2 linked regions of the Callithrix jacchus genome follow. The protein of the gene in region 1 purifies or fractionates together with the protein of each later gene. This does not show direct contact. Links are inferred from orthologs where the notes say so. Each region holds a gene or a part of one and is shown in the gene's direction. Other genes may lie near its edges. The genes, in order: UQCC1 and UQCC2.

Region 1 (3,818 bases):
TACTTTTTGAGGTTGTCAGTTTCATTAATCAAATCTTCAGACACTCAGGTCAGGTACAGTGGCTCATGCCTATAATCTCAGGGCTTTGGGAAGCTGAGGTGGAAGGATGGCTTGAGACCAAGAGTTTGAAGTTACAGTGGGCTATGATTGTGCCGCTGCACTCCAGCCTGGGTGACAGAGCAGGACCGTGTCTCTAAAATTAAAAAACAAAACAAAACAAAACCTTAGGCATTCCTGTTAGTAAGCTTTTGATTTTGCTGTTCAATGACGAGTAAATCTTTCTCCCTCTAAGGCCTGCCCATTGGTTCTGATTCTGACTCTTAGGTTTTGTTTGTTTGTTGAGTCAGGGTCTCACTCCATAGCCCAGGCTGGAGTTCAGTGGTACCATCATGGCTCACTGCAGCCTTGACCTTTTGTCCTCCAGGGATCCTCTTGCCTCAGCCTCCTGAGTAGCTGGGACTACAGGTACACGTCATGACACCTGACTAATTTTTATATTTTTCATAGAGATAGGGGTCCCACTGTGTTGGTCTCAAACATCTGGGCTCAAGTGATCTTCCTGCCTTGGCCTCCCAAATGCCGGATTATAGGTGTGAGCTACTAGGCCTGGCCTGATTCTCTTTGGTAAACAGTTTAATCACTTTTTTACAATGTCTAAGGCAACTTTCCTCTTTTTTCCAGGTTAAATATCTTTTGGTCTTCTTAAGATACATCTGGTCCTCCTATCTCTTAAAATATAATGTTCATTTGATAACACTGAAAGGAAAAAATAAAAAAATTTAAAAAATAATGTTCAAAACTGTGGATAGTATTCCAAATAGGTTCTGGTTTGTGCTGAGTAGAACAAAAGTCTCACTTTACACATGGACGATACTATATTTGCATGTATCTAAAATCACATTAATTTGGAGGGCAACATTGTTATCCTCTTGATTCCTACTGAGCATATAATGTCAACTTAAGCATGTAAGGCTTTTCACACATAGGTACGTGACTCATCTGTGTTGTACTCTTACAGTTGTTCTTTTAGACCCAGATACAGGATCCTGAATTTATCCCTGCTAAGTTGATCTTGTTAGATTCAATCTATTGAAGTATTTTTGGTTCATGTTTGGGTCATCTAGCACATTTGTTCTCCTGCCCAGCTTCTTGTCAGCTGCAAATTTGATAAATATGTTTTATTTTCTCCATCTTAGTTATTAACAGAGATGTTGAAACAGGCCAAGCTGTAATCATTTCATTGTACCATTGCTGGTGGATTTTAATTGGCAAGATCAATTATGTATGGAGGTAGAATTGTCAGGTTGAATCAACTGTTTCATAATTATGACAGGCATTGTCTTTTAGGTGAGTAATCCTATTGTAGCTGCTTACTAAGCTATTTAATGAAAGACAGTAAAAATAAGTATGGTGTTCCAGTCACAGTGGCTCACACCTGTAATCCCAGCACTTTGAGAGGCTGAAGTGGGAGGAAGTCTTGAGCCCAGGACTTTGAGACCTGCCTGGGCAACAAAGTGAGACTCTGTCTTTACAAAGAAATAAAAAATTAGCTGGGCTTGTTGGTGCACACCTGTGATCCCAGCTACACAGGAAGCTGAGGCAGGAGGCTCCTTTAAGCCCAGGAGGTTGAGGCTACAGTGAGCTGTGCTTGTGCCACTGCACTCCTGCCTGGGTGACAGAATGAGACCCTGTCTCAAAAAGGAGAAAACAAACAAAAAAGAATGAATAATGGTCATGAGATTAGAAACAATTATAAAAAGTTAGGGATGCTGCTTATATTCTTATATATAATAAAATATAATTCTTATACGTTTAGATTATGTGAGGTCTTGAGCAGAAAGCCCTTTGACCTGACTAAAGGCAATATGGTCTAGGGCCCTAAACTTGGCCCTGTGGTGTTTATTCATTTATTTATTCAGCAAGTGTATATTGAGTGCCTACTGTACTTAAGCCCTGCAAATAAAATGTTGACAGAAACCAGACTTGATCTTTATCTTCACTGGAGCTTACGTTGTAGTGGGAGAAACAATTTGACAATTACTTTCTGTGATCTGTGTTCTGGACAAGTGTTATCCAACAGAAATATAACACAAGCCATGTGTGTAATTTAAAATTTTCCAGTATCTACATTTGAAAAAGTAAAAAGTAACAAATTAATTTTAATAATAGGTTTTATGTAAGCCAGTATATCTGAAATATTATTTCAATGTGAAAGCAGTATTAAAAATGAATGAGATATTTTATATTCTCTTTCTTGAACTTAATCTTTGAAATCTTATATTTGTGCCACATCTCAGCTTTGACTAGAGCCATATTTAATGTGCTCAATAGCCACAGGGAGCCACTGTATTGGGCGGCACAGTTGTATACCCAGTTTTACAGATTCTGGTGTTGGGCAAATTACTTTTCTTCTTTAGGACTCCTGCTTTCATCAGTAAAATGAAGGATTCAGACTTGTTTATCTTCTAACAACAAAATGTGGTTCCCTCCAGGTATGAGGGAGCCTTTAGGGGTGCCCTAAATAATCTGTGTCTTGATCTGAGTGGTGCTTGTGTGGGTATATGTATAATATGTAAAAATTCATCAGACTGTACACTTAAGATTTATGCACTTAATAGTATCTTTGTTATATCTCAGTGAAAGTTTTTTTTGTTGTTGTTCTTTTTTAAAATAAGTTCACTTCCAGTTTGATTTGGTGCCCTTTGCTAAACTCACTCTTTCATGAGGAGAACTTCAGTGGAAATGTGTGATATGAAAAAGGCAAACAGCCAGTGACTCTTTTTGTCTTCTTCCCACCCAGGATGTGTCTAGTCCGAATGAAGCAGGAAGGCCGGAGTGGGAAGTACATGTGTCGTATCATAGTTCATTTTATGTGGGAGGATGTTCAGCAGCGTGGCAGAGTCATGGGGGTAAGTGAATGCTGTTAGATTCTGGTCCTGGACAATTCCAGTGAAGGGTTTGAGTTTGGAATTTTATCTGTTCTAAAATGGGCTTGCTTTTAGATTTCCGTGAAATGCTGCCTGATATCAAGTGGCAGTTCAGCTAAAGTCACTTTTTCTGCCTCTGTGGAGAAAATACTCCCCAGATACTTTATGTGTACACATTATTGTGATTTGCTAGTGTGAAGTCATCTTGTATGGAGATGGGATTTTAAAGCCCAAATCATGGTGATAGGAGGGATGGATTTGGTGAATGGGGGGAATCAAATGATAATCCAGTTCAGGATATTATACTTTTGACACCAGTGCAATATTTGAAACAGTCCTGTAAATTCGTTCTGATGGAAGGCCCTGGTAAGGGGCCTGCGCTGTCCTCACGAACTGAAATCAAGCTCCTTGATCGCTAGCAGCCTAGAAGAGTCTGGTAAGATACCTACTGAAAATGTACATTGGTACATTTAATGATTAACCTGAGAAAGGGGAATATATAGTGTGTGTGTGTGTGTGTGTGTGTGTGTGTGTGTGTGTCAAATGGAATCTGATGACAATAGAGAAATGAAACCAAAACACTAGAATATGTTTGGTTATACAGATCATAGTATCTTCCTTTGTTTCTATTGTGTATTTTAGCAGCCCGTAGATCATGTTTTAGTAGCTTGTAGTTCCCTGTTAATTCTCATTTCATTGCCTCCTAGCTTGGGAGCATTCAAAGTAGAACCATGACTGGGTCATGAAATGGGTTAATTTGGTTTCTTTCATTACAGGGCAAAGTTCTCCCTGTGGACTGACAAGTAAACAAAGTTTATAGACATATTATAAAAGTTACATATGCTCATAGAATAGAAATCAAACAGTAAGAGTGTAAAAAACAAGTGTCCC
Region 2 (3,818 bases), on another chromosome or scaffold:
ATATATATATATATATATATATATATATATAGATATAGATAGATACACACACACACACATATACATATATGTATATATGTGAGCACATCTACACAAGTATGAAGAAAGAAAGCAAAAGATGAAATGCAGTTTTCTTTTGAACTAAATATTGTTGTGCACAGAAAACTTTGTGCCAGTATAATTTTCTTTTTCCTTTTGTGTCTTTTGCTTCCTGTCCTTCTGTCTTCTGTGTTAGCTCTTGGTTATGCATGCCCTGCTGAAGAAATGTTCCACGTGTGTTCATCCAAAGCATGCGTGCAGAATTCCTTTCTAGCTGGACTTTCCCTGGAAGAGCTGACCAGCAGCAAGGAGGCACGAGCCTCAAACTTCTCCATTCGTTCTGTCCACTCAGATAATGACTTTGATTATTACACTGGCCACCTCCTTAGGCCATAATCCTTCCTCTCTTGGTGTATCTAGCTGAACATTCTCATGATGTGTAGCCTGAAGCCAGGAACGGATCAGGTGGAACTAAATGATGGATTGTCTTTTTTGTTTGCTGTAAAGTGGGGACCTCATTTGACATGCACAGAGAAGCAGAAGTGGAGCTGCTTATTAAAGTGCTTTACTACTGCTTTATTTATGCTCTGCCTTCTCCAAGGAAGGATTTAAGTTAGGGAAAAAATCCTTCATTTGAATTCTGGGGAAAAAAATGTAAAAGAGAAAGTTTTGTTCTGGGGATCTTTTCAGAATTCTTGGCAGGAAAATGTAAAGGGAAAGAACTGTATGTAAACAATAGCAAGGACAGAGAAAAGGGAAAATTTAAAAAGGTGTGAAAGGGAAGAGACCATGGCTCATCTGTGTGCTGCCTGTCTTCCTGAGAATGTCCAGCAGGGGCACCACTGTCTCTGGCACCAGGTTTACTTATTTCTCCCTTTCTATGGCAAGGCCTCGGTGTTCTGGGCCATCTCCTTTCTAGCAGACCTAACTGGGGTCCCGTCTTGGTTCTCCACAGTTCACCCATTTCATCTTAAATGTTGCCTTCTTCGTGTTTCTTTCCTTCTTGTAGAGTTTCAGCAAACTCAGATTTTTTTTTTTTTTTTTTGGTCTTTCCCAAAAGAATCTGATCTAAGGCCAGGCATGGTGGCTAATGCCTATTATCCCAGCACTCTGGGAGGCCGAGGTGGGCAGATCACCTGAGGTCAGGAGTTCGAGACCAGCCTGGCCAACGTGGCAAAACCCTATCTCTACTAAAAAATACAAAAATTAGCTGGGTGTGGTGGTGCATGTCTGTAATCCCAGCTACTCAGGAAGCAGAGGCTGGAGAATCGCTTGAACCTGGGAGGTAAAGGTTGCAGTGAGCCGAGATTGTGCCACTGCCCTCCAGCCTGGCTGGGTGACAGAGTGAGATTCTGTGTCAATTTAAAAAAAAAAAGAATCTCCTGGTCTGGCCTGAAGCATCCTACAGGATTTCTGCCTCCTCTTCCTGGCTGAAGGCATCTCCTCCCCCAGGAAGGCCTGCCCTTGCTTCTGCTTGCTGACCCCTCTCCTTTCTTCAGAACCTTGCATCATCTAACTTCCTTCATGCACTGACCACCTGAGCATGTGGGGACTCCCCGACTGAATCCCTGCAGCCCACCCTACCCAGCACCTGCTTTGTTAGGCTCACCCCTAACCTTAGGTTTCTATTGTGGCATCTCCTGCTGCAGCTGGTGTGGTGGCTTACAAGTCACAGATGCTCAACAAATGCTTGTTTGCTGGTTAATTGATCTGATTCTTCTGCAGGTTGGGGAGTTGATGAGGCAGAGCTATGCCTCCAAAAAGTAGTTTCTAATAGCAGAGCTGTAGTCCAGGTTTGCTTCCCACAGAGTGGGGAAGCCAGTGCTAGCTGCAGGCCTGCTTCATGTGAATGCCTTATTAAGTACGGTCTTTCCTCAAGGTACAGACACTGTGGGAGGCAGGACTCCTTTGCTTACCTCCTTGGGGATTCTTTGCTTTTCAGATTGCAGAGCCTGAGGCCTGTGATCAGATGTATGAGAGCTTAGCGCGACTCCATTCAAACTACTACAAACACAAGGTGAGTGGGCCACCTTGCATACCCCCAGCTTTCTGACAGGACAACTAATGAGTGAAAATCTTGATTATATAATGTTTTGTAAAGAATTGGGTTTGCTGTTTTCAAATGAAACCAGTAATTTCAACCAAGCGAACAGAGGTGCCTGGTAGAGGCTTTTAGGTCATCTAAATAAAAGCTATTTAAAATTGTGAATATAGGGAATAGGGAAAAAAAAACAAAGAAAACCAATTCTGAATAGAAGCCATGTATTTGATATGCCAGTGCATGCCCTGGAAGTATCTGACAGCCATTGGCTTTATACCTATTTTCCCATCCACTCTGATGGAAGTGACACCTCCCCGCACTGGTGGGGATGGGATGATTGGGAATGTGCCCTCCTTTTCCAGAGCTGGGCCCCAACGTGATTACTGTTAAATTCCATTCAGAGTGGTTTTTCCCAGACTTGAAAAATATGTTCTGTAACTCCACAAATATATGTGGCCATATGCCCATGTGGAAAGTGAATTTTTTCTAAATCCTACTTACTAACATGTGGTCCATGAGCAGCAGTTTGGGCATCACCTGGGAGCTGGTTAGAAATGCAGAATCGGGCCCCGCCCATACCTGCGTTTTCCAGAGAGGACTCATGGGCACGATGAAGTGGGAGCTGCCTCCTGGAGACTGTACTGGTTCTTGCGAGGCCAAGTCTTGACCTCAAGGTGGCGCTGCTCTTCTTGCTAGGCCTCCTCCTCTTCTGGCCTCTGGTTGCCCAGGGCCCAAATGAACCGCAGTTAGAGAGCAGGGCTTGTGTGCTGATCTCTCCCCTCCCTTCTCTTCCTCTCTGCCCCTGTGACCAGTACCCTCGCCCCAGAGAAACCAGCTTCAGTGGCCTGTCGTTGGAAGAGTACAAGCTGATCCTGTCCACAGGTAATGAAAGCACAGCTGCCTTTTCTCATTGCTTTGCAGATGATTCTCGGAGTTTGAGTGGCTAAGGGGAATTGTCTAAGACAGCTTTGCTTGATGGAAAGTCCTGTAGAACAGCCCAGAGGAAATTCTGAAGCTACAGGCCTCATGCATTTTGACCATATACTGTGGAGAAGGTCAGAGGCGTTATTTAAAAATGAAATCTATCTTTAGTGCTTTTAAATTCAAGGCTGGGCAGCAGGGAACAGGGGAATACATATTTGCCAAATGGAAGTAGTTGAAATCAAGATGGAAGGAAAATAATTTAATTTTTATGGTCCTAAGAGGGCTTTATAAACAATGAAGGTTTTAATTAAAACAAAAAGCCATTCAATAAATGTGTTTGGGGATATCCGCCAAAGAGTTATCTGACCCAGGGGACGTGGTCTGTGGCTTAGATGAGTTTAACTAGGTATGTTTTCGAGTCATTGATAGACTGTGATGAACAAGAAAGGAAACACCCTGCCAAGCCCGTCCTTTCCTTGCTCCTATCTCCATTGTCCCTAAGGAGGGAGGCAGGAGAGCCAGGGCTGAGGTCAGCAGGTACTGGAAAATTACTATTTTTGTTGCCAAGTATATTATATGCAAAAATAGGTTAACCTTTTCTGGAAGGGCATGGCCCTGAAACATTTCCTTCTGGTATCTAGAAATGTGTCTTTCTTCTGATGGCAGCCTTCAGCTACTTAGTTTTGAGGATTTGGGCTTCTAGAAGACACTCTTCTGAGATTAAAACCTGGTGGTGTGACCTGCCGTTACCTGTCACTTCTAACCCTACTTTTATTCCAGTACTCACTGGAAAATGAGGGTAAAGATGTTTTGG

What was found.
Region 2: the proteins of UQCC1 (region 1) and UQCC2 purify together in Homo sapiens (co-immunoprecipitation; 3 studies listed by BioGRID and IntAct, counting the BioPlex papers as one, with this or other methods). This does not show direct contact. The link is inferred for Callithrix jacchus from reciprocal best matches to the Homo sapiens genes UQCC1 and UQCC2.

The regions. Positions count from the first base shown.
Region 1 is NC_133506.1:3,967,347-3,971,164, forward strand, and holds part of UQCC1 (ubiquinol-cytochrome c reductase complex assembly factor 1), read left to right. Parts: intron 1-2,800; coding exon 2,801-2,909; intron 2,910-3,818. UniProt on the Homo sapiens protein: Required for the assembly of the ubiquinol-cytochrome c reductase complex (mitochondrial respiratory chain complex III or cytochrome b-c1 complex). Involved in cytochrome b translation and/or stability.
Region 2 is NC_133505.1:41,993,902-41,997,719, reverse strand, and holds part of UQCC2 (ubiquinol-cytochrome c reductase complex assembly factor 2), read left to right. Parts: intron 1-1,981; coding exon 1,982-2,056; intron 2,057-2,892; coding exon 2,893-2,962; intron 2,963-3,818.